Mus musculus: one gene and its partners. The main gene of each other region encodes a partner of the protein of the gene in region 7 in a complex. Links are inferred from orthologs where the notes say so. Each region holds a gene or a part of one and is shown on either strand. Other genes may lie near its edges. The genes, in order: Sf3b5, Scnm1, Prpf3, Dhx16, Usp39, Strap and Snrpg.

Region 1 (2,442 bases), on a different chromosome or scaffold from region 7:
GTCTAAGTCTTGGTGTTGGTTGGTTTTATTTTTTTTTGAGACAGAGTTTCTCCTTGTAGCCCTGGCTGTCCTGAAACTAGCTCTGTAGACCAGGCTGCCCCTGAACTCAGAGATCTGCCTGCCTCTGCCTCCCAAGTGGTGGAATTAAAGGTGTGTGCCACCACCACCTGGCATGATGCTTATTATGACAAAATTTAAACAGAAGAATTAATATTGGATGGAGCGGAACTCACCTCTAATCCCAGCATTCAGGAGGCAAAGGCAGGAGGATTGCTGTGAGCTCAGGGCCAGATCCTCCCCCCACCAAGTAAACAAAAGTACCCCCAAACTCCTGTATTTTCAAATTGTCTGTCATTGTCCATTCTCTTTGGCTGTGACTGCTCTTACCCCATTCCTAAAATGGTTTTTTGAGAGTACAATCTACATCAGGCTATACATGTATCCTTAAGGGATACCATAAAAGAAGTACAATTATCTTTTCTGAGTTGTTTGTAACGTGAGAAAGTGCACAACCCCCAACGTAAGGCAGTAATCAGCAGAAAAACACAGGTGACTAGAAAGAGAGGTGTTCTTTCTATCTATCTATCTATCTATCTATCTATCTATCTATCTATCTATCTATCTATCTATCTATCTATCTATCTATCTATCTAGTCTTGAACCACATCTGACTTCAAGGAATAGCTTTTGAGTGACCTAGAGCAAACAACCCCTCAATGGGTTGAGAAACGGGAGCCTGGAGCTCGTTGTGGGAGCCATTAGTGAGACTACTGGGGCTGACACTGATCACCAAAAATACTTTTCCCAGTGCCCAAATTCTAAGAGACAAAGCTGGGACCGCGGGGGAACCATGCTGCCACGTTAGCTTCTAGGTACAAGAGTTAATTTTCCTGGTTGCTTGTAGTTGAAACCCTCTTGGATTTCCCCTTCTTAGTAGCCCAGAGCCGTGGGATAACTCTCAGAGGCCGTTTGCCATCGTCCTACAGCAGCCAGGCAAAAACAAAACAAACAAAACAAAACCCTAAAACAAACTCTTTGGACTACTTGTTCCAGAATGCAACGCTCAGACTAGAACGTGATCACCCGAGAGCCACTAAGCGGACCATCATGCAACACTCTTCGAAGTAGGCGGGCTCCGTGAGGAGACGGCCCAGTGTTTCCTAGGCAACTCCAATCCCGCGACAGACGGCACTTCCGCTTCCGCCTAGGAAAAGACTGTCTACTCCTGCGTCTCGGTGGCGTCTTTCTCCCGCGCCTGCACGAACTGAGGTTTTGCGTGGCGGCGGCGGCACCGGCAGCGGCAGCGTCTCTCACTTGAACGCCGCGAGCGGCAGCTTCTCGTCTGTGTCCTGACCTCGGAGCCTACGAGCAGAGCGGCGCGATGACGGACCGGTACACCATCCACAGCCAGCTGGAGCATCTGCAGTCCAAGTACATCGGCACGGGCCACGCCGACACCACCAAGTGGGAATGGCTGGTGAACCAGCACCGCGACTCCTACTGCTCCTACATGGGCCACTTCGACCTCCTCAACTACTTCGCCATTGCCGAGAACGAGAGCAAAGCCCGCGTGCGGTTCAACCTGATGGAGAAAATGCTGCAGCCCAGCGGGCCGCCCGCGGACAAGCCCGAGGAGAACTGAGGTGAGCGCTGCCCAGTCTTCCCCGTGTGCCGGCTGCGAGCCTCCTTGCTCCTGCATCTCGACCATTCCGTGTTGGCTGTGTCGCCTGACCTGCGTACCTGTGGAGGATTCGGAACAAGTCATGGAGAGACTGTCCGGGTCCGCTCCTTGTGAACTGTGCAGAAGGAGTGATCCCAGCATCGGCAAGCGAGGGAGAAGACTGCACGAGAGTGATGCGCATTTCGAGTCTGCTTTTCGATAGTTGATGTCTTCTTGCCTTTTTAAAAAACCATATATATATAAAGTTTAGGGTTTGCTCTATTCTTTGGTATGGATTGCTGTGTTCTTTGGGAGGTTATTAGGAGAGGGTTCTGTGGATCAAGGTTTTGTGAGAGTATAAATAGGAAATGGGGGCAGAAGCACAGGGCAAGTCCTTAAGTCGTCACACACACTTTTATGATATTATCCCACCTCAATAGTCTTCACGCGTACAGTGTGTCTGGTCCCAAAGAAACCTTGAAGCGCGGAGATTGCCCATATCCCTTTCCTACCCTTCCCTTTATGCGCTACCCCTTACCCCTTTTTCTTGATGATTACCCTTTGTGTCTTCAGAAATGATAAACTGGCAAACAAGTGGTATCACGTCCCCATCCTGCTCAGCGCCCCATTCCCCCCACCCCTCTTCCCTTTTCACCAGAGCATTTTCCAAAGGTTTGAGGGCATACATTATGCCAGCTTGAAGAGTTTACAACTTTAAAAACCATGCTTACAATGCTACTTTACTGAGATGTCATTTGAGAACAGATTTTAAGGAATCAAGA
Region 2 (4,258 bases), on a different chromosome or scaffold from region 7:
TCTGCACAAAGAAAACAGAGCCTTGGGGTGGAAATAAGAACTACAAATGGGCACCTTCAGAGTGCTAGTAAAAGTCAGCTCTTCCTTACCAGTCTCTACATCCCCACCCCCACCCCTACCCCACCCCCGCATGGCTAATAGTACCGGCTTTAGAGTCAGACAGAAACCTTACTCTGACACTTAAGTGATTCGACCTTGATCAAACTGGTTTATCAGTCTTAAGTTGATAGGGACACAAGTCCAGTTAATGGCTGTAAGCCCCGCCCCCACTCACCCACCTCCCTCACCATCTACAGGAGTTGCTCCTCCCACTGGGATAGTTGGGCAGATCTGTCCCAACAGTGCTCTGCTGAGATGTGAAAGCAAAATAAGGAAGAAAAAAAACAGACCATAATAGAATTTAAATAATGTGAGAGGGGGCATCTTAGCGGGCCACCCACTTTCTCGGGACTATCTCAATTCTGGAAGACTCACCGTTACCCCGTATTTGAGTGCTAATCCAGCCAGGGTGTCTCCAGGCTCCAATTGATGCTCCAGGCGTCTTTCCCTCACTGGGGAGCAGGATGATTGTACCAGGCTTCCATAAGAACGAGCACGGCTCCCATGCAGCAGCCCTGACCCCCCGAGGGGAGGCTGTCTAGAGGGAGAAGCCATCTCCTCACTGTCAAGACCTAGGGTCACAACTGAGGGAAGCCCAGCTAAGTAACAGTGACGGCCGAACCCAAGGAATGGATATTCAGATAATTCGTTTTCTCTTCTCTCGTCTCTCTACAGTCTCCCGACTCTCGAGAGACTACATTCGTCGTCCTCCTCTTGCTGCTTCTTGCCGTGCCTGGAGTTACTGTCCGTCTCTTAAGAAGTCTGCCAGGCCGGTTACATTTCTCTTTCCACGAGCTCCTTACCCATAAGTATCTTCCCTGAGCTGTCAGTCGCTGACCCGGTTGACTTTCGACGCCCCCTCCCCAACTCCTCGCAAGCCTGATCTCTGACCTTTGAACCCTAGACACCCTCATCAACACTCTTCCCTCAGTGTATCCCCACATCCAACAGTCGGGATGCCGGGTGCTCCCACATCCTCTCTGTTCCAAATAAGGCCCACCCCAGGTAGGTTGTGGCTGAGGAGTACGAGCCTGAGGACAGCAAGAGTTTGTAGTATATAGTCCACTGAGATCCCTGACGCCTCGCTCCACATCAGGAAGGTCCCACCCTGAAATTCCGGCTCCACATACAGGATCTTGAGTCTCCGAACACCTGGATCCTTCGAGATGTGAGGTCCTGTGTCCAGGTGAGCAGTGTGCTCTTCAAAAAAATAAAAAAATAAAATAAATAACCAAAAGACTTCATTTCCCAAAAGGCACAGCGTCTCAAAGTATTGTAGGAAATGCAGGCCCCCTCAGGGCGCTGGAGGCGGGTCTTCCGGTTCGCGCGACGCAAGCGTGGAACATCATCCCCGGAAGTACAGATTCAACAAGAAAGAAACCGGAAGCAGAGAAGGCGATAGTGTACTCTTTCTACGGTGGCCTAAAGGAGCAGCGAAGTAGGCGTAGGGGAATTTATCGTAGTCTCACAGTCGCTATGTCTTTTAAGAGGGAAGGGGACGACTGGAGTCAACTCAATGTGCTCAAAGTAAGCCTTAGTGAGAGTCTGATCACCTTCAGCCGCCCTGTTGTTTTGTTTTGTTGCTCTGGCGACATCTAGGGGAGGGCTTAGGGGACCAGAACTGAGTGGTGACCCCTACTACCCTATGATCTGCATAGCCCCGTGTGCCATTTGACTCCTTATCCATACTATTTCATTTCCATCCGTCCCTCTTACTCATTTCTCCTATCCTGCTCCCTGCAGAAACGGAGAGTTGGGGACCTGCTGGCTAGTTACATCCCTGAGGACGAGGCACTGATGCTGCGGGATGGACGGTGAGAGCGAAGAGTGGATCAAGCCTGGGGATTCGGGGATCAAAGGCTCAACAAACTTTTGTCACTAAGGAGTTCAGGAGTATAATAGGACTCTTTGGCTGGAAGTGAAGTGTAAGGGGTGGAGATCGGGAAACCTGGGAGTTGGTGGTGGAGTACTCTGACAGAAGTAGGACCTACTCACCATAGCAAGAACACCCCGACTGCAGGCTCTCGAACACACAACATACACACCACACACCACACACATCATTCACTTCTCGTTTCCCTAGCTTTGCTTGTGCCATCTGCCCCCATCGACCAGTACTAGACACGCTGGCCATGTTGACAGCCCACCGTGCAGGCAAGAAGCATTTGTCCAGTAAGTATCAGAGAAGTGGGGAGGGCGGGAGATGGAGAGCAAGCCACCAGGCATTGTGCTTTTCATTCCTCCTTGCTTTTGTTCTCAGGTCTGAAGCTTTTCTATGGCAAAAAGCAAACAGGCAAGGGAACAGAGCAAAATCCAAGACAGCAGAACGAATTGAAGACAGAAAGCAAAACTGAGGTGAGAGGGCATCAGGTGTGGTTTAGACAGGGCTATACTTCACACAACAGGCTTGAGGGAACGTTTGCTCCTAACAGCTCTAACTCTGTCTCTTCATCACCAGGCTCCTTTGCTAACCCAGACTCGAATCATCACCCAGAATGCTCTACACAGAGCTCCCCACTATAACAGTTGCTGCCGGAGGAAGCACAGGTCCGTGGAATGGGAAAGCCAGGAGTGGAAAAGGGTAGAAGGAAATAGATGACTTTAAAGTTATTGCTCTCCAGATTGTATTCTGAGAAATAATAATCTTGTGGAAATATTTTTTTTAAATGATGGTAGGGGCTGGACAGATGGCTCAGCAGTTAAGAGCACTGACTGCTCTTCCAGAGGTCCTGAGTTCAATTCCCAGCAACCACATGATGGTTCACAACCATCCATAATGAGATCTGGCGCCCTCTTCTGGGGTGTCTGAAGACAGCTACAGTGTACTCATATATATAAAAGAAATCGTAAACCATCATTTTTTCAGGTTTTTTGTTTTTTGGGTTTTTTGTTTGTTTGTTTTTTGAGACAGGGTTTCTCTGTGTAGCCCTGGCTGTCCTGGAACTCACTCTGTAGACCAGGCTAGCCTCAGAAATCTGCTTACCTCTGCCTCCCAAGTGCTGGGATTAAAGGCGTGCACCACCACTGCCCGGTGGTTTATGATTTTAAAATAAATTTTTTAGCAAGTGGAAAATTGTAGAATAATCATACTTATTAGGAACATTAGGGCTTGGTGAGATGCCTCAGTGGTTAGGAACGCAGGGGGCTCTTCCAGAAGTCCTGAGTTCAATTCTTAGCAACCACATGGTGGCTCACAACCATCCAAAAGGGATCTCTTCTGGCATGTAGGTACACATGCAGACAGAGCACTCCTATATTTTAAAAAGTGCAATAAATAAATACATTCAAAAAGAGAGAATTGTAACATTAGTAGAGCACGGTGGTGTACTTTTTGTTTGTTTGTAGCCCTGGCTGTCCTGAAACCCTGCTATTTAGACCAAGGTGACCTCATATTCACAAAGATCTGCCTGCTTCTATCCCTCAAGTGTTGGGATTAAAGGTGAGCACTCCATGCCTGGCCTTGGAAAATCTTAAGACAAAAACTTAGAACCAGCCGGGCAGTGGTGGCGACGCCTTTAATCCCAGCACTTGGGAGGCAGAGGTAAGCAGACTTCTGAGTTTGAGGCCAGCCTGGTCTACAGAGTGAGCTCCAGGACAGCCAGGACTACACAGAGAAACCCTGTCTCGAAAAACCAAACCAAACCAACCAACCAACCAAACAAACAAACAAAAAACTCTTAGAACTATGTATTAGAGCATAAGGAATATGGAAAGTTACAAAACTTATGGAATATCTGTCTATATTGAGGTAATTTATTGTAATGACTTACAGTTTGTAGTCATGTTGTTGGGTTACAACAATGGGCAGCTGTGAATGAGAAGTCTAAGAATCTAATAGTTGCTCAGTCCCACAAGGCTGGTTGTTTCAGCTGGTCTTGTATAAATAGGTTCTAAAGATGTGCTTGGCAAGTAAGTGCAAGCAGTGGAAGAAGAGTGAGTCTTCCTTCTTCCAGTGGTCTTATGTAGGCCTCCAGCAGAAGGTGTGGCCTACATTAAGGCGTGTACACCACACCTGGATCTGGGACTTGCTTTGTCCCAGGCTGACTTTGAATCAGAGTTCTCCTTGCCTCCTGGGATTAAAGGCATGTTATACCTTGCCTGGACCTAAGCTTTTCACAGCCACTGTGCCTCAAGATCTCCATGCCAAGATCCAGATCAG
Region 3 (3,500 bases), on a different chromosome or scaffold from region 7:
ATTTCACAGGGGGTGCACATATCTGTGTATAGGTAGGTGTCCACATTGACAGCTGTCTCTGTTTCTTTTTTGAGACAGTGTTTCTCTACCTAGTCTCAGCTATCCTGGAACTCACTAAGTAGACCAGGCTGGCCTCAAACCTAGAGATCCACTGCCTCTGCCTCCCTGGTTCTCGGATTAAAGGTGCGGCCCATTATGCCCTCCTTGCACCTACATTCTCATTATCTTCCCAGTCCTTAGGACAAAATCACTGTGGCCTTCAAGTATACCTTATTCTTTTGTGGTAACTACTTCATTTCTCTAGAAAGCAGTAATTTTTTTCTTTATTACCTTGTCTTTATCCTGAGGATCTGTAGTAATAGGCCTTTCATCCACACTTCAGAATATATTTGTACCCAGGAAATACATTTTTACTTTTTTATTAATGTCTTCATTTTAGTCTAGGTTAAGTTTATATATGCATTCCACTTTTTAGATACACTTATTTCTACTAAATAGTTCTTTATCAGAAGTGGCACATTATAATAAAACTTCTGTTTATTCAGATTAAAATTTTTGGACCAGATAGGATGATGCATGCCTGTAATTCCAGCACACAGGAGGAACAGGACAGTTCTGAGTTTATGGCTAACCTGAACCACGTAGCAAGTTTTTGGCTATCCCAAACTGGAAAACAAGACAAATTCTAATAATAATAGAGGAGCACTTCCTGAAAGAGTCCCCTTCCTATTCTCTGATCTATTAAGATACTATCTATAGGTAACTACTATTTACAGTTTTTGATGTCTCCAGAAATTTTTTTGAATACATGGCATCTATACTATAGGCATCTAGAGGTGGCAGGATTTAAAGCTTTTTCTACCTTCTGGAACACTGGGCTTGCAAGCTTTTTTGGATGATAGTACCTCTCCTTCATTCATAGATTCTAACTACTTACTGTGAAGAAGTATAAGACCAGCAAAGGGAGGCAGAGGCAGTCAAATCTCTCGAGTTCAAGGCCAGATTGGTCTATGCAGTGAGTTCCAGGCCAGCCAGACTACATGATGAGACCCTGTATTTACAAGAGAATAAAAATATAACTGCATTCCAGAGGTCTTGATTTTAGATCCTCTGTATTTGCCATTCCATTCAGGCAGCTTCTAGTGATAAAACTGAAGACATGACTAAAGTTTCCCTCCTCCAGAGTTCGAAATTTGAGCAACCCAGCCAAGAAGTTCAAGATTGAGGCCAATGCTGGGCAGCTGTACCTGACAGGGGTGGTGGTGCTGCACAAAGATGTCAACGTGGTGGTAGTGGAAGGGGGTGAGTGCAGAGAGTTGAGGGAAACTCTCTAGACAACCCTAGCCCTAAAGCGATTGGCAGTGGGGAGAAGGGAGGAAGATTTCTGTGAGACCGCTGTTGTGTTTCCGATTCTGTGTGTCTGCAGAAGAAGTCTGTCCTGGTCCTGGGGCTCGTTCCCCTTCCCATTGCTATCTGAGTAGTAGATGGGCTCAGCTCAGAGGTTCTTCCTACTCTGTCATCTTTCCAACTCGCAAAATTCTCTTTTCAGGCCCCAAAGCCCAGAAGAAATTTAAGCGTCTCATGCTACATCGGATAAAGTGGGATGAGCAGACATCTAACACGAAGGGAGATGGTGAATTGGGGTTAGAAGGGATTACATGGGAGAGCTGGGGGAGGTGGAGTGATAGTTCTGTCTATTCTTCATCCATTCTTCCTGGAATAGTCTTGTGTTCAAGAAGTTTAGACAGAATGTTTTGTTTTGTGTGAGACAGGGTCTCACTGTATGGTACTGGCTGGCCTTGAATTCATAAGATCCACCTACCTATACTTTTTAAGGGCTGAGATTAAAGATGTGTGCCCCCTGCCCAGCTAGGTTGACTTAAACAGTACTGCTGCATACACCCAGCAGGCTTTTCTCTTTGACTTAGTTTCAAGTTCTGGTTGCAAGAGTGTATTTAAAGTCAGCAAACTATGCATTCGTGTGTACAATATCTAACCTGTATTATTCTTTACTTAAATTTCTTATTAGCTACGTCACGGTAGTTCACACCTGTAATCTCCTAAGAGTTTGAGGTCATCTTGAGCTATGGAGCAATTTTAAAGCAGCCTAGGCCACATGAGTCTCAAAAAAAGTTGGTATTTCTTTCTAATCACTCCAGACTAGTAGTATCCACCCATGACCCCAGCACTCAGAAAGTGGAAGTAAAAAGATCATGGGTTTGAAACCAACACATGCCAATGTAAAGCAGATATGGACTACATACAGTCTCTGACTTCCCCACCCCAACCCAATTCAAAAGACCATTGAATGTATAAAAAATAGATTTTCACATCAACAACAACTTTCTACTTTAAACAGGAAAGAATACTTTGGGTTTTGTTTTGAGACAAGGGTAGCCCTGGCTGGTCTGAAACTATATAGACCTAGCTGGCTTCACACTCAACAGGAAAGATAACTTTGGAGCTAGCATTAAAGTTTAGTAGTTTAGCACTTGTCTACCATGTTCAAGATCCTGCACACTGAGAGCCAGACAAGGTGTGGGGCACAGGTAAAGAAAGAAAAGATATATTTAGTGGGGCATGGTTGCTGAAGCTTGTAATCCCAGCTCTCAGTAGGCTGAGTCAGGAGGATGGTCTCAGTAAATAAATTTAATCCAGCACTTGGGAGGCAGACCCTGCTAAGTTGGAGGCCAGCCTGGTCTATGTAGCGAGAATCTGACTCAAAAAACAAACCAAATATTGAGCTTTTTTTGTCTTTTCCAGATGATGAGGAATCTGATGAAGAAGCTGTGAAGAAAACTAACAAATGTGTACTAGTATGGGAGGTTAGTGTCTCTGTAAAACGCTGCAGTTCAGTTGGCCGGATGTTTAGCGTGGTTTTTAGAAGTTGGTCTTTAGCGTGTGCCGGTGGGGAAGCATATGGAGAACAGTGGCAGTAGGAGTACACGTTCTCAGCAGGAAGGTAGTGCCCAGGCCTCAGACGCACAGTAACGCACGCACTAGACGGAAGAGTCCGGGCTTGCCGGGGAGCCAGTGATGAGTGCTTATCTAATGCTTTAGAGTCCGAGTTCCATCCTTGGCTTTACAGCAGAACAGGACCTGAGCCAGACGGTGTCAGGTTTCATTGCCTTATCTATAAAATATGGCTGTTATTTGATCTACCTGGCGTGTTGGTTGTAGTGAGAGTAAATTAGAGCAGGCCCAAATTCAACTCCCTTACTCAGTTGGCAGGGCTTTCCTCCTGTAACTCCAGGTCCAGGGGACATGACCTCGTGGCTTTGACAGGTGCCTGCACTCACATGAACACATTCTTTATTTAAATTTTAAAAGATTTATTTTTGTGTATGAGTGCTTTGCTTGCATATATATGTATATCTACATCACATACATGCCTCATGGAAGCCAGAAGAGGGTGTCAGATCTCTCAGAACTGGTACAGATAGTTGTGAGTCACTATGTGGGTGCTTAGAACCAAACCGGGGTCCTCTCTAAGAGCAGTA
Region 4 (3,500 bases), on a different chromosome or scaffold from region 7:
ACCTTTAAACCCAAAACATGGGAAGCAGAGGCAGGTGGATCTCTGAGTTTAAGGTCAGTTTGGCCTTCAGAGTGAGTTCCAGGACAACCAGGGCTGCACAGACAAACCCTGACTTGAAAAAAAAAAAAGAAGAGCAAATAGGAGAAAAAAGAAAATAACAACATCAAAAACACTGACCTTTCTCACACGAACGTAGTCACCTTGGCAAGAAGTCAAGCCAACTTCCACACGCTCCAAGAGCCCCTCCAGTTGTTCCCGCACATCCCGGGCTCGGCGCATGGATCTGAACTGTACAAAGTTTTCATAGCACCATTGGGAAGAGTAGCCACTCTCAGCCCACTGTGAAGATGAAGTGCCTTAAGTACACAGCAGGACTCAAATCCCCCAGACTTCCCAAATTTCCACTTGCCCAGTGACCTGTGTGTACACATTTAGCAGAACCAGGTGGTCTCCACCAGGGAGGAAGAAGTTGACACGGGCATTGTCGGCATGGACAACCTTATCCTTGGGCCGGTAGAAGATGGAATTGTTGACAGACAGCATAGCAGCCACGGTCAGGATCTCTTCTGAACAGCTATACCTTGAGCGGGGTAGGAAGAGGATAAAGCCAAAGAGAAACCGCAAAAACCAACTGAGAGCAGACACAGATCCTGATCCCAAACACAGCAGGGGAACATCTTCTTCTTTTCTAAGACTTACTGTGTGTGTATAAAAGTTTTGCCTGCGTGTATGTCTATGTGCCACACGCCCAAGGAAGTGAGAACTGGAGTAACAGATGGTTGTGAGCCACCATGTGGCTGTTGGGAATTGAACTTGGATCCACTGCAAGAGCAACTAGTGTTTTTAACCACTGAGCCATCGCCCATCCCGGATGTTGTTTAAAGGCAGTCCCATACAGACCTAAGAATCAAGTTTTAGAAGCTGCAGCCTTCCCAGCACCCATCACACACACAAGGGCTTCTGCTTCCACCCATGCTCCTGGGTTTTACTTTATTAATTGGTTTGTTTTCTGAGGCAGGGTCTTACTATGTAGCCCTGGCTGGCCTAGACCTCAGGGATCTGCCTGCCTCTGCCTCTGTGCCTCTCTCTCTGCCTCTCTGCCTCTGCCATGACTGCTTGTCTCTGGGTTGTAGCTGCACTATCCATTGTGCCCACCAACAATCACTGTAAGGTACAGGACAGTGATTCACATGGGCCTCATAAGGGATGGTAAGACTTCTTAAACAATTTTTATTAAAACCAAACAAACAAAAACAGTAACAGCATGATAAAGAGTCAAGGAGAGAGAGAGGATACTTGAGACTGAGGAAGCATGGCCAGTTTGTGCCAGGAACTGGCTGGGTGGGAGGACTTACTTCTCGGAGGCCAAGATCATTTTAGACAACATGGGATCCACAGGCAGCTCTGCCATCTTTCGACCAGACTAAAAAGAAGAGGGAAAGGTGAGGCCGGTTTCTCTCAGGTTCCTTCCACCAGTACAGGAGGCCTTGGCACACACACCCCCTCCCCCAGGGGTCCCTGGGGCCATCAGATGTCTCCTACATACTGTCCCAGCCTGTGCTGCCGCTGGCTCACCGTGGTGAGTTCTCCAAGGTGGTTGAGGGCGCCAAGGGCATAAAGCTGCTCCAAAGCCAGCAGCAGGGTCTCGTATGGAGGAGGGTCCAGGAAGTCAAAGTGCATCAGGTCATGGATCCCTGGGGAAAGGAATAAAGAATGAGAGAGTGCGGCACAGGTCCCCGGCATTCCAGTGCCCGATCAAGGACTTGGGCAGCCCGATCACCTAAGCTCTTTAGCAGCAGCACAACGTTGCCCAGGCTTGTCCTCTGGATCTCAGGAACTGTGGTCTCCTCTAGCTCATGCTGATAGGCCCAGGCCGTATACAGGCGGAAGCACTTCCCGGCAGCCACTCGACCTGCACGGCCAGCCCGCTGATTGGCTGAAGCCTAGAAAGAAAGGAGAGGCCACACACACACACGCGCACACACACACACACACACACACACACACACACACACGCGCGCACACACACACACACACACACGCACACACACACACACACACACACACACACACACACGCACGCACACACGCACACACACACACACACACGCCTGGTCAGTGTTAACTCAGAAGTATGGTAAGTGATAATCCCCATCCTCAAGCGCTACTTGGGAAGCAAGCTTTCTCCGGGGGCCGGGGGGGGGGGGGGGGGCGGTATGTGTCCCCCTCTGGGCTGACCTTGCTGCAGGGGGTGACCGTGAGTGACTCCATTCCCGTACGAGGGTTGTAGCTCTTCTGCTTGCAGAACCCTGGGTCCAGCACATAGATGATGCCTTCGATGGTGAGGGAAGTTTCTGCAATGTTTGTTGCCACAACCACCTAAGTGAGAGGATAGCGTCACCCGGGGACCCAGCCCACCTGGACAGCCTGAGAAAGCACGATATAGGGAGAGTAGGGCACAGGGAGGCAGTGTCCACGTCAGGAGATGAGGTGACAGGCAGGCAGGGCTGGCAGTCAGCAGGGGCACAATAAAGAAACAACACTGAATTCAGGACTGCATGTCCGCATCTATCTGTCCTCATTCGTCACTTCTGACAGCAGCCTCCTCGCTCCCCTTCCTGCTTCTGTCACATAGCATGCAGAGTGCTCCCTTTAAAACATGTAAACCTATCAATTCACACCCAGGTCCAACCACAGAACTCCGTCTATGCCGTTTAGACCCTGGACTACCTCACCCCTAGCTGCATGTCTGATCACAGCTCACACCCTGTGCTCATCCCAGCCCTCCCTCCAAGTGCTCATCCTTCTGTGAGATGCTCTGCAGGAGCAGTCCTCCCTCCTCCTTCCTCTACTCTACCCTGCCGTTTATGGGGCAGCCTCCCACCACTAGAAAAAGTCTGCTCCTCCTCTCCTCAGACTTCCCGTGCTGCCCGAATCTCTTCAGTGTACTCAATACACACGGAGGCAGCTTTACACGCCCAGCCTCCTCCCATCAGACTGTAAGTCCTACCGTGCACATGATGGATCCTCCCTCGGCCCTCTCCCCGTGCAGCGTGTACTGGGCCTCCCCATGCTGGGTAAGGGCCTGACCACTCAAGCCCCAGCTCCAGACCCTCAATATATAGTTGTTCAGTGAGAGTCTTATCTCTAAAATCTTTTGGTTGCCATTTGCCTGTCTAAAGTCTGAACGCTACAACAGCTCTGTCCTGGCCTTTGGCTGACTCAGCTTTGTCTGCAGCATCCGAAACTCCTAAACTCACTCCTCTCGGACTTCAAACACACCTCAGCTTTCCTCTAGGACTTCCCTAGCCATTTTTCTCAACGGTCCAATATTAAGTATGTCCTGGCATACACTGAACTTAAAGCTTGCATCTCTCAGCTAATATTTATTTCATCTCTCTCCAGCTGGCAGGCCAGGGCCTGGTTGCTCCTCAGCTGTGTCCAAATAGCCAGGCAAACAACTTGGGACAAAGGGTACAGCACATGCCTTGGTTGTGTGT
Region 5 (4,199 bases), about 14 Mb from region 7:
CAAAAAACAAAACAAAACAAAAAGCGCACTCTGCCACTATAAAGGGACAACATGGCTGAGCATGGTGAGAAGCACAATTTTCTAGGCAGACAGGCATAAAAGGAGGAGAGTTAGAATGCTTCAATGCTCTGTTTAGAGAATTTTCTACTGTATTCTGCATCTCAAAATCTTCTGATGGGGCTGGAGAGATGGCTTAGCAGTTAAGAGCACTGGCTGCTCTTCCAGTTGTTCAATTCCTAGCACCCACGTGAGAGTTCACAACTATCCGTAACTCCAGTTCCAGGGGATGCGGTACTCCCACAGACATCCATGCAGCTCCAGGGGATCTGACACTCTCACACAGACATAAATGCAGGCAAAATACCAACATACATAAAATAAAAGTAAATTTTTAAAAATCCACTGATTTTGTTTGTTTGCATAGTATTGGTGATTAAACCTTGGGCTTATGACATGCCAGGCAACTGCTCTACTACTGAGATACATCACCAAGTCTTGCCCTCAGCCTTTCTATATTACTGACCTATTAATGGTATCCAAGTACGGGCAGTGACGACTCCTCCGGTCTTCAGAATCCACTCGGCCATTCTTTGCTGAGAAGAAATCCATACAGGCTGTTAAATGGGAAACTTGTGCTGGAAAGTAACTCAGTGGTAGAACACTTAACTAGCACAGGCAAGATCTGCTCAGTGGTAGAACACTTAACTAGCACAGGCAAGATCTGCTCAGTGGTAGAACACTTAACTAGCACAGGCAAGATCTGCTCAGTGGTAGAACACTTAACTAGCACAGCCAAGATCTGCTCAGTGGTAGAACACTTAACTAGCACAGCCAAGATCTGCTCAGTGGTAGAACACTTAACTAGCACAGCCAAGATCTGCTCAGTGGTAGAACACTTAACTAGCACAGGCAAGATCTGCTCAGTGGTAGAACACTTAACTAGCACAGCCAAGATCTGCTCCAGCATCATAAATGGAGGACTGGAGGCTCTCCTCAAATCACAGGCACAAAACAAGCAAACACAAAACAAAACAAAATCACCGAAATGGGAACATTTGATCACTAAGATTGGGAGAGTTTGATCAGTTAGGTTAGGTTCTAGGACAGCCAGGGACCACACACACACACATCTCAAAAAGATGAGCTTTTCCATTTCCTTTAGTGACAACATTCAAAAAAAGGCCACTAATGAAATAAGTTGCAAACTAAGAGTAGGTCTATTACATATATAACCAATGAAAGATTAATTTATATATTACATAAAGGAATCCAGGCAAGTGAGATGGCTTAGTAAAGGTGCTTACCAGCAACCCAACTATCTGAGTTCAATCCCTGTGACACACAGGCTAGGAGAGAAAACGGACTCCCACAAGTTGCCCACTGACTTCCACACATACACCATGGTACATGCATACACATAAATAAATGCCAGGCATTGGTGGTGTACATTAATCCTAGCCCTTGAGTGAGTAGGCTAGGTGAAATCTCTGAGTTTGAGGCCTACCGACAAAGTTCCAAGACAGCCAGGGCTACTTAGTAAGAGCCTGCCTAAATAAGCAAATAAATAAATAAATAAATATCAAATGGGCAGGAAAAGTATCATGAAATATATCACAAGTACTAAGATAAGCTGAATATCCTTAAATCTACTATTAGTACAAGAACTGTATTGGTTCTGAGAGTTAATCCTAATGTGTTAACTCTAACTAAAGTTAACCCTAATGTGTTAGCTTGACACAGCTTCATGGATGCTGACAGAAGCCACATGATCACAGACTAAAACAAAGAGTCTACTACAGCAATAACAGTACCCTATTATATGACATCTTTGCCAGATCCTAGAGTTAAGTCCCATAATAGAATAGAAAAAGAACCAGTGCTCATAGTGGGTTGCCTTACAGAAGATCCCTGCCCTTAAAGAAGATTATATCTTCTTGTGACCTTACTCCCTACCTATTGCTCTATGGAATAATACTATCTGTCTCCCAAGGCTGGTCATTACATCAGCATCCTTTACAAGACAACATGGAACAACCCCCATGCAAAACCCAGGAGAAGCATTAGTGTCTCCAAACTATTCAACTAGTACAAAGTCAATACTTGAGTTGAGTGCACTGGGACTCAACTAATGGTCTTATTCCAAAAATTACAACATGACTCTGACTCTTAGGAATTTGTGGGGGGTGGGGGGGAACGGAGAAGGGTCCATCTGTACAGTCGTCAGTAGAGCACCTGACCCACGTAGGCTATACGTGAATAGGGAGATGCTGTGATGTATTATGACAGGCAATCCAGCCTGCTGGATTCAAGCCTGGTCAGGGAGGCAGAAGAAAGGAAAAGTAAAAAGCAGACAAAAACTGGGCATCTCAGACTTCAAGAAGGGGAAGCAAGAGTCTAAGGCCATCTCTGGTTACAACTTCAAGTTCCTGAGACCCGTCTTTAAAAATATAGGAGGAGAAAGAAGAAAGCAGGCGAAGGAAGAGGACGCGCCCGGCCCGGCCCCGCGCACCTCGCACCTCCCGCTCGGGCTCCGAGTCTTCATCGGCCTCGCGCTCACGCTTCACCCGCACGACCGGGAGCGCGGGCGCCGGGACCTCTCGCGCAGCCGGCTCGGCCTCCCGCTTCACGCGGACCGGGCTACCCCGGGAGCTCGCCGCCTCGGGCTCCTTCTCACGGTCTCGCTCCTTCTTGATGCGACCCGAGCTGCCACGAGACTCGGACTCACGCTTCCCGCGGGTGGAACCATGGGACTGCCGCTTGGACCGGCTAGACATCGCCACCACCAGTTAGGAGCTTCCGCGCCGGCGCCGAGCACGGGCAGCAAGCAGCCAATCAGAAGTCGAGATGGCCTCATAGAAACGCAGCGCGCTACGAGTCGCTGTGAGGGACAATACAGGCTTATAAAACGTTATAAGCGCTGCTGGCCCAACCGAGATAGTTTCGAACATATTGTGTCCTTGTCCAACATCTCTTCACGGCTTAAATAGGAACCTTTCACAGGCTACTTTCATTTTAGGGAAAAGGAAGCTAGCACTCCACCCGAGATAGCTTCAGGACAATTTGTGTCTCGAAACGACGATCCAGAGATGTCCCCTGATCAGGGACTGATGACCTACACAGGAAAAGGAGTCAGTATTCCCAAATTAACTCCTTCATTCAGGCTTGTACCTGGGAACTTCAATTAGTATCATATTTAAAGGGCTCTTGAAATGAGTTTGCAAATACTCTGCTAAGGCGCATTTATTGTTTAGCTAATAAAACTTCAAATTCAGCCTTACCACTGAGTCATGCCTTAGTCCCTGCCTATTTGAACAGTTCCATCGAAGTATAATTGATATACAAGATAGTACACGTTTGATGTGTCTAATTTGCTAAATTGCGATGTATGAACACTTACAGATTCAAGAGAAGAAACTTGTCTCACCCCAGAAATGTCCTGTGCCCACGTGGAATCCCACCCAAACCACAATAGTGACTACATTTCCTAGAATTTTATGTTCAAGTATGAGTCGGTGTTTCCTCTTTCTGACCAGGTCTCATTCACGTCTAGGGTAAGGCAGTCTGTTCCTTTACTTTCAATATAACAATTCCATCAAGCAGATGCACTTGATTCTGTCACTGCTCTAATAAGTTTCTGATGTTTACATTTTAAACTGAAAACTTGGAAAGCTATACTCTCAGGATCAGGCAAAACAAATCCCAAAGTTTAAGGCCAACTGAGCTACATAGTTAATTCAAGACTATCCTAGGCTACATGCCAGAAGGAAAGAAACAAGAGAAGGCTATGCACTATTAGACCCTCAAAAGCCTTGGTTCCTCTCATGGTCAGTTAAGCAAGTGGTCTGGACACCAGCAGTGCAGCTCCAATGTGGCTGAAATAGGGACTGGGTATGGGTGGGGAAAACTTACCTACGTGAGCACTTGTCTGCCTCATTGCCTATCAGAGACAGATGTTTTTAGTATGTCCACTAATAAGCAAACAAACGGAGGAGATTGGCTCAATTGGTGAGAAAGCTTACTGTCCAAGCATGAGTCCAAAACTCCAGCACCCGTGGAAAAAGCTGACAGTGGGCTCATGCCTATAGTCCTAGCCATGTGGGAAATGGAGACAGGAGGACCACTAGGGCTTGGTGGCTGTCAGCTGAATTACAGGTTAAGTGAGAGGCCCTATCTCAAAGGAACAGGTAGAGAATACAGAC
Region 6 (3,500 bases), about 51 Mb from region 7:
TGCTCAAGTGAGCCTTGTTTCAGCCTCAGGACACTGCGATCTGTTACCAAGCATGCTGGTTCAGGCTACAAACGTGCTGCAGCAATAGGAAAGCAATGGCACAAAATAAGAAATGCCCTTAATTTATCAACTTCAGGAATCCAAGCGACTTCCATTACAAAAGATGCACTCAATTTTATTTAGGGTCAGACTCTCAGTCTAATCTTGATACATGAACAATACTGCTACAGAGCAGAAAACCAAGCATGTTAAACATGGACAGGGGAACACCACTGCCTGAGGCTCATCAATGCCTGTGACGGGCTTCCCTGGCTCTCCCAGGAACCGCCTGTAGTGCCGCCAACTTCTAGTCACAAACTAGTCGAGACTTTTCTGATCAAAGTACTAAAGGCCACTCAGAAGATAAATTACCAGAAAGCAAATTAATACAAGCTGTTCATCTGTATTTCCAAATTACTAACTTAATCTCTTCACATTGTAAAATAAGTAAATAAACTACAAATTTATTATCCAATTTATTAAAGGTTGACTTTTTGAATGACCCAAGTTTAAATATGAGAAAGTTTGGTATATCATAAATACTGAAAATTAATGATTAACCCAGTTTCATTAAATCATGTGGTTATTTGTACAACCGAGCAGATGTTAGACTACGTACAGCAGTTTTTCAGAATATTTTCAGAACTGAGATTTCAACTTGTTTACTTGCTCTTCCTAAGTGTTTTTCTGTTTTAGTAACTAACATGCATGTTTAAAGAGACAAGAGAAGCAATTGTATCCATCCAGAAGGAAATAAATGAACACACAACAAAAGATATGAAAATTTCAAGTTTAAATAATTCAATTTCAAATTTAGGAAATGTTTAGTTCAGACTCTATAACCAAACTGTCTTTGCTCTGGCTGGCTGTGTATGATATAGAAAACTTTGAATAGTTAGTTTTAGTATTCAAATGTATCAGAATTTCCAAAAAAAGAGAAAAATTATTATTTTAGAGGCATTTTATTTAGATAACTAAAAATATGAGCTGTTCTGAAGCAGTCCTTGTACAATGAAAGAGATCAAACCGGTTACTTTATCATGTATTTCCTCCTCTTCATCACTAGGCAAGGACAAAAAGGCATTCTTCTTTAAGGGAAAGTCAGAAAAATAGGCCAATATATTTTTCTTCTTCATAACATAAACAGCTAAAAGAAATTTAGGTGTAAAATGGAGATTGTAAGTTGGCTTTTCATTCCAAACAGCAGGCTATGGCACTATGTGAGCACAATCCTCCTGCCTGCACCTCAGACACTCAGCCATTTTCACTCACGGGCAACACTGAGTAGCTGTTCGTGCACTGGAGCTAACTCATATGCCCCAATATTTTCTGCCCTCTTTGCCTCAGGCAGACAGTAACTCTGAAGGCGGATGCTTGTCTCTGCTTGTTTAGTCCATGAACATATGGTTTCGGCAGCACACGTCTGATGCTCAGGCCTTAACTTCAGGAGTTGATGAATAGATGGAATCTGAATTCTCTGAAGCAATTTCTTCTGCATTTAAAAGATAAAATCATAGTCAATTTAATAAAGAGAAGAAGAAAATCTACATTTCTGTACAAGGAAGAAATGACAAGGTCTTTTCAAATATGCTGAGGTGAGGAGGAGAGAACAGACAGCTACTAAACATGGCCTTATCCCAGGACTCCAAACACCCAAGCAGAGCTCAAGCCATTTCACCAATTGTTTAACCCCACCCCTCTCCCTTCAGGATAAGCTTTCACTGACTCCAACTACCCAATCAGCATTTCATTAAATCACGCTTTTTTGGGTCCTGTAGTAATCAAATACTAGTATAAGGCCATGCAGTTCAAAACCTTAACCATTAAACACTGCTTCCCGGGAGGCAGGCTCTAATAGTATCAAAAGCAGGGGTGATCGCCTCTTCCCATCTTACCGCCAAGCTACAAACAAGCAATGACCAATCTACCAATCTCACCATTATGCAAAGACAAGCCCACCTTCCTTCTGTTCTCGGTGTCTGTCCCATAGCTACTAACCTAGAATCTACTGTCCCTAGTCTAATTCTTTCTCCACACTACACACCAAGGCACTTTCCTAAATGTACATCTAGTCCTCCACTTAGATCAAAGGTTTCGTTCTCCTAGTTTATGAAACGCTTAAGGCTGTAACAGAGCAAACCAGATACTGGCTGGTCTAGCCTCTCTCCTCTCACTTTGCCCTTACTCTTGAGGCTGGACAGTGGCATTCTCCATGCTGGTTCCCTTGCTTCTCTTCTGCTTTCTGCTAAGCCCTCCTGCCCATCACCCACAGCGCATCCTCAGAACCTCAGCAGCCAGCCTGCCATCCTGAGTCTACTCCCACATAAATGTCCGTTGTGCAGGAAGGGCTCTCGACCTCACGTCATGGTTAGAAACTGTCTAGGGAGCTTTTAGACCCTGTCCCTGAGTGTATGCGAGGAGACCCATCAGTCATGTCCACGTGCACGAGGCCTGGACTCCAGAGCTAATGCTTACGCACTCGCGCTTAAGCTTCCTATAACGTATTTCGACTGTGTACATTTATTAAATTTCTTTTGCCATGGACCAAAACGTTCATACACTGAATTTTTACATACCCAGGGCTCTTAGAAAAGTTAATTAATTTTTATTTACCCAGCTCTTCCTCTGCTGTTTCTGGAAATCCGATCTTTGGCTTTGCCAGTTCCCCGCTGTCTTCCTCTGTGAAGAGACAAGCAGTGGTGACTGACCATGAAGGAGGGCAGGTTCCCACCAACACACACAGCACACGTCCTCTTAACAGTCACTGTGATTCTAAAAGACATCTCAAAGTCACCTTTAGTACAACAGCCACTCTGGGATCAATAATAAGTATTTGGGATTTTTGTTTTGTTTGTTGGTTTTTTAAACCAAAAACATGTTTTCAGTGGTAAGGATCAAGTAATACTATAAACAATTAGATGGATAACTTTTAAATTCTTCATACTGCCTTCTACCAAGCTTTATTTCTTTTTGTATGGATGCTCTTGAAACCACCGGGCCATCTCCCTAGCTACTTTGTAATAAATGTTGAATTCAGGTCATTCAATTCATCACATAAAGGACACTGCTCAGTTAGAATCATGACTTCATTCTGCTTATACCATATTACATAATTCAAAATCTAAAGGAGACAAACACAGTGAAACAGAATAAATGATACAAAATGTATGCATTATAATTTGATAACTTTGAAGAGACATCCTTACCAGGAAGCACGCATTTCCACAGGCCATAGGTCTTTCCTACCACAGTTTGCCACAATCTCAATGTCCCATCTTCAGAACCGCTGGCATAGAGTTCCCCATCAGGACTGAATCTCACACAGTGAATGGGACCAAAGTGACCTTTGTAGGATTCTGAAAACAGTGAAGAACAGGGATATCAGACTTAATAAATGTAAAGCTACTGGGGTAGACACTGATGTACTACAAAAGACACTGTCTATTCTGCTGGGAAGATCA
Region 7 (4,013 bases):
TACATATTATAACTAAATTGTAAAAGGTGCATACTGTAATTTCAGTACTGTAAGGCAAGCTGAGGATTTCCCTCCTGCTTTGAGGTCAGTCTTTGCTAAAGACTATCATTATTCATGTTCGTTTTCTAGTTTCAACTAGCACAGCAAGTGGTGGGGAGAGTGTATAGCTAAGCATTCTTGTGCTATTTTTTTGTTGATGACAAACTAATCATGAGGAGAACCTCAATTGAAGAGCTGCTTCCATCTAACAGGTCTCTGGACATGTCTGTGGGTCATTAATGACTACCATGAGAGAGCCCAGTGCACTGAGGGCAGTGCCACCACCCTGGGAGAGTGCACACCTTTATTCCCAGCCCTCAGGAGGCAGGGGCAAGCTCAATACCTCAGGACTTGTGTGGTACTCCTCAGCTTTTATGTATGGACTGTAGTGTGCTAAGTGGGTTCTGAAGGCAGCGTTAGAATTGCAGAATTGATGAATCAGAAATACCCCAGACACTGGATTCACGTCCTCAAGAGAATCCGCCTAGCCACCTTCCTGCTACTGATGCGGACAAGCTATTCTGTGCTTCAGGAGCCCTCGGCTTCGCCTGGATGTGCTTAGGAAATTAAGGGCAGCGTGGTGCAGATGCCGTTGATTCTAGCACGGGAAGCAACAGTTCAAAGCCAGCGTTGACTACACAGTGAACTCGAAGCCAGCATGAATTACGTCAAAAACAATGAGGAAGGGGCAGGGGAAATGACAAAAATGTAAAGAGAAAAAAAGTGTAGTAAGTGGGAAAAGGAAAGAAAAGAAGTGACACACAGGCTGGAGAGACGCTTCAGCAGTTAAAACCACTGGCTGTTCTCCCAGAGCTCTGGAGTTCAATTCCAGCACCCACATGGTGGCTCACAAGCATCTATAGTAGGATCTGAGGTCCTCCCCTGGCGCGCAGGTGTACATGTAGAGCACTCATACATAAAATATAAATGAAGGGGTCTGTTTTTAAAGTGACCTGCCACTTCAATTTTACACAAAGGAAGCTTAGCCGAACACAGCCTCTCCGTCGTGGCCTGTCACTGGCGACGCAACCGGAAGCGTGGCTCTGGTCCGCAGGTTCAGACATCCCCATCAATATCGCGAGATGAAAGGTAATGTTCTCCGAAGGCGATTGGCTCGCGCGGCGGTGACGTCAGACACCAGCGCCAAGCCTGCCTTGCGCGCGTTTCTGAGCCTGCTCACTCCTTCGCCGTTGTGCCGAGCCCGCAGAGGAGTCGCCATGAGCAAAGCCCACCCTCCCGAGCTGAAGAAGTGAGTAGAGTCGGCCCTATCGAGACTTCTGTCTCGCTCGGGCTGCCGCCGCTGGTCCCGACGGTCGCGGGAGCCGGAAGTGGCGCTAAGGTCCGGTCGGCATGGTTACTGCAGTGCCGGTGCCTCTGTCTTCCCAAAGCTGGGGCTCTCCTAGGCGGGCAGCCAAAGGCAACCTGGTTGGGGACCAGGGCAGCGGTCGAGGTGCATGGTTGTGAGGAACCGGAGACTCGTGGGCTTAAAATGATCGATTGGAGTCGGACGTGATTGGCTGTGATCTATGGGGCCAATATTCAGGAAGCTTAGGCAGGAGAATTACCGCGAGTTCCAGACCAGCCTAGGCTTAAAAAAAAAAAAGACACTGTGTCTCAAAAAGTTTAAGGTGAGGTAGCGTTTTGTGTTTCAATAAATGTGCGCGTTCATTTGCGTTCATCAAGAGAGCTAGGTTTAGTTTTGGGGTTTTTTTTTCCCCTTTTTGGTGCTCAGAGACATGTTTAGTTATATGTTTGTGCACGTGGGTGCAGCTCCTGCGGAGGCCAAAGCGGGCATTGGATCTGCAGAAACAGAACTTGTAGGAGGTTGTGAGCCCTCTGGCGTGGTTAATAATAGCTGGACTCGTGTCCTCTGGACAAGCAATAAGCGCTGGGCCATCTGCAGCCCCAAGAACTAGGTTTCTGATACACTGTCCTTGTATTCAAGTTACATTTAAACGTTGTGTAATATCTTGCTCTGGCAATAAATCCATGGAAGGACATCCATTTTCTACTTGTAAAGAGCTAATTTCTGAAGAATTTTATTCTGTACCCAGTAAAATCAGACAGACCCTTTGGTCTCAGACACTTCTGACTGGCCTGAACCTGTCGCATATGCACATAGTCATTGGGTTGCTCAATACAAGATTAATACTGGGTCTTTTCTGGTGTAGCCAGAAAATAATCTGTCTTGTGTATAGCCTGTTTGCTACTGTAAAGTTCTGTCAAGACCCCAATGCAGGGGAAAGATAACAACATTTGCTGATTTTTGTATTTGAGTGCACATTTTAATCAAAGCCCTCTGTGTGAAACCCCTGCAGTTTTGTTTGAATCTGAATCTGTTAAACCGGGCCTAGAGAGTTGGCTCAGAGGTTGAGAGCACTGACTTCTCTTCCTAGAGGTCCTGAGTTCAATTCCCAGCAACCACATGGTGACTCACAACCATCTGTAATAGGATCTGGTACCCTATTCTGGCTTGCAGGCCTATAGGCAGAACACAACATAATAAAGATGTATTAAGCCATAAGTCTGACATTTTAAAAAGAAGTTATTCTGCACTGTTTGTTTTGATGATGAGCTAATAAATGAGGTCTGGATTTAGCAGGAATTGGCAAAATGGCATTGGTTTTGAACAAAAGCACTGTTCCCTACCTGTAATCTTCAGTGTCCTCTGATTCTTAACAGATATACTTGGGCCTTTCAGAGACTGGAACTAGTGATTGTGTCCATATTTTTATTGGCGTGTTTGGAGCAGAGCCTGTGTGAGCTACTTTGTCACTGAACTTCTCTTCTCTGAGTTGATGCCTTTTTCTCATCCCTACATTTTATCAAATTTGAAATACTTTTAGATCCGCCTCCTTATTTTCTCATAAACACCTCCTTTTACAGCTATTCACTCCTAGTTTAGCATAACTCCATAGTTCTTAATCATTTCTGGTCCCGTGTCTCAGTAGTTTCAAAGTTGAGCTCCTCCCAACTCCTAAAATGTGTTGCCACAGAAAGTCTTAACCACTGATGAATTCTGCTATACTAGTTTATATCACCACAAAGTCAAGTCCAGACTTCCTAACCCAGCTTTGAAGCCCCACCCCATCTGCAGTCCAGCAGCCATATTTTGCATGGTATATGACTAAAAACAATTTTCTGCACATTAGTGTCTCAGTTACTGACCTCTTGCTGTATAGAGGCATCGTGACCAAGACAACTCTTATAATAAAGAAAGCATTTGATGGGGACTTGCGTACAGTTTTAGAGGCCATGATCATCATGGAAGAACAGGCAGGCAGTAGTTGAGAGCGTTACATGCTGAACCGCAGCAGCAGGCAGGGCAGAGAGACACTAGGCTGGCTTTTGAAACCTCAAAGCCCACTCACTCCCAGTGCCACCTCCTCCAACAAGGCCACACCTCCTAATCCTCCCAAACACTTAATCAGCTGCGAACTAAACATGCACATAAGTGACTCCATGGAGGCCATTCTCATTCAACCTCCACACTGAATGTCAGTTCTCCATCTGTATAACATGGTAATAATAGTACCGGAATCGTAAGTGTTAAATATGTTCCTCTGTTGATTTACAAAATAACTCCTAGTAATTTATAAATGTTATTTATAAATCTATTTCCACCTTCAGATTCTTATGGCTTAAATTTATATTTAAATTCTATCATGGTCTATACATTAAAACTCAGTGAAGCAGCCGAGCAGTGGTGGTGCACGCCTTTAGTCCCAGCACTTGGGAGGCAGAGTCAGGTGGATTTCTGAGTTTGAGGCCAGCCTGGTCTACAGAGTGAGTTCCAGGACAGCCAGGGCTATACAGAGAAATCCTGTCTCAAAAAAAAAACCAAAACAAACAAAACAAAACAAAAAACAATTCAATGAAGCTCAGCCTGGTGGCATAGGCATGTAATGTCTGCTACTTGAGAAGCTGAGGCAAAGAACTACAAAACCAGGGTAGCTAAGAAACACTGTCTTAAA

The links.
Region 1: Snrpg (region 7) and Sf3b5 share a complex: the UniProt entries of both Homo sapiens proteins name them as parts of the minor spliceosome. The link is inferred for Mus musculus from reciprocal best matches to the Homo sapiens genes SNRPG and SF3B5.
Region 2: Snrpg (region 7) and Scnm1 share a complex: the UniProt entries of both Homo sapiens proteins name them as parts of the minor spliceosome. The link is inferred for Mus musculus from reciprocal best matches to the Homo sapiens genes SNRPG and SCNM1.
Region 3: Snrpg (region 7) and Prpf3 share a complex: the UniProt entries of both Homo sapiens proteins name them as parts of the U4/U6-U5 tri-snRNP complex. The link is inferred for Mus musculus from reciprocal best matches to the Homo sapiens genes SNRPG and PRPF3.
Region 4: Snrpg (region 7) and Dhx16 share a complex: the UniProt entries of both Homo sapiens proteins name them as parts of the minor spliceosome. The link is inferred for Mus musculus from reciprocal best matches to the Homo sapiens genes SNRPG and DHX16.
Region 5: Snrpg (region 7) and Usp39 share a complex: the UniProt entries of both Homo sapiens proteins name them as parts of the U4/U6-U5 tri-snRNP complex. The link is inferred for Mus musculus from reciprocal best matches to the Homo sapiens genes SNRPG and USP39.
Region 6: Snrpg (region 7) and Strap share a complex: the UniProt entries of both Homo sapiens proteins name them as parts of the SMN-Sm complex. The link is inferred for Mus musculus from reciprocal best matches to the Homo sapiens genes SNRPG and STRAP.

What each region holds. Positions count from the first base shown.
Region 1 is NC_000076.6:13,007,242-13,009,683, forward strand, and holds Sf3b5 (splicing factor 3B subunit 5), read left to right. Parts: upstream 1-1,208; 5' UTR 1,209-1,381; coding exon 1,382-1,642; 3' UTR 1,643-1,942; downstream 1,943-2,442. UniProt on the Homo sapiens protein: Component of the 17S U2 SnRNP complex of the spliceosome, a large ribonucleoprotein complex that removes introns from transcribed pre-mRNAs.
Region 2 is NC_000069.6:95,131,213-95,135,470, reverse strand, and holds the start of Scnm1 (sodium channel modifier 1), read left to right. Parts: upstream 1-1,458; 5' UTR 1,459-1,575; coding exon 1,576-1,626; intron 1,627-1,842; coding exon 1,843-1,913; intron 1,914-2,182; coding exon 2,183-2,271; intron 2,272-2,359; coding exon 2,360-2,454; intron 2,455-2,557; coding exon 2,558-2,646; intron 2,647-3,444; coding exon of another isoform or gene 3,445-3,484; exon of another isoform or gene 3,485-3,665; intron 3,666-4,258. Other genes in the region: Lysmd1 (lysM and putative peptidoglycan-binding domain-containing protein 1), read right to left, coding at 475-654. UniProt on the Homo sapiens protein: As a component of the minor spliceosome, involved in the splicing of U12-type introns in pre-mRNAs. Plays a role in the regulation of primary cilia length and Hedgehog signaling.
Region 3 is NC_000069.6:95,831,886-95,835,385, reverse strand, and holds part of Prpf3 (U4/U6 small nuclear ribonucleoprotein Prp3), read left to right. Parts: coding exon 1-32; intron 33-1,183; coding exon 1,184-1,302; intron 1,303-1,549; coding exon 1,550-1,633; intron 1,634-2,763; coding exon 2,764-2,825; intron 2,826-3,500. UniProt on the Homo sapiens protein: Plays a role in pre-mRNA splicing as component of the U4/U6-U5 tri-snRNP complex that is involved in spliceosome assembly, and as component of the precatalytic spliceosome (spliceosome B complex).
Region 4 is NC_000083.6:35,886,278-35,889,777, reverse strand, and holds part of Dhx16 (pre-mRNA-splicing factor ATP-dependent RNA helicase DHX16), read right to left. Parts: intron 2,380-3,500; coding exon 2,239-2,379; intron 1,944-2,238; coding exon 1,781-1,943; intron 1,695-1,780; coding exon 1,576-1,694; exon of another isoform or gene 1,547-1,575; intron 1,424-1,546; coding exon 1,356-1,423; intron 581-1,355; coding exon 418-580; intron 340-417; coding exon 178-339; intron 1-177. UniProt on the Homo sapiens protein: Required for pre-mRNA splicing as a component of the spliceosome. Contributes to pre-mRNA splicing after spliceosome formation and prior to the first transesterification reaction.
Region 5 is NC_000072.6:72,342,376-72,346,574, forward strand, and holds the start of Usp39 (U4/U6.U5 tri-snRNP-associated protein 2), read right to left. Parts: upstream 2,801-4,199; 5' UTR 2,775-2,800; coding exon 2,510-2,774; intron 594-2,509; coding exon 524-593; intron 1-523.
Region 6 is NC_000072.6:137,748,582-137,752,081, reverse strand, and holds the end of Strap (serine-threonine kinase receptor-associated protein), read right to left. Parts: intron 3,396-3,500; coding exon 3,246-3,395; intron 2,719-3,245; coding exon 2,653-2,718; intron 1,532-2,652; coding exon 1,470-1,531; 3' UTR 152-1,469; downstream 1-151. UniProt on the Homo sapiens protein: The SMN complex catalyzes the assembly of small nuclear ribonucleoproteins (snRNPs), the building blocks of the spliceosome, and thereby plays an important role in the splicing of cellular pre-mRNAs.
Region 7 is NC_000072.6:86,370,327-86,374,339, forward strand, and holds the start of Snrpg (small nuclear ribonucleoprotein G), read left to right. Parts: upstream 1-1,213; 5' UTR 1,214-1,256; coding exon 1,257-1,288; intron 1,289-4,013. UniProt on the Homo sapiens protein: Plays a role in pre-mRNA splicing as a core component of the spliceosomal U1, U2, U4 and U5 small nuclear ribonucleoproteins (snRNPs), the building blocks of the spliceosome.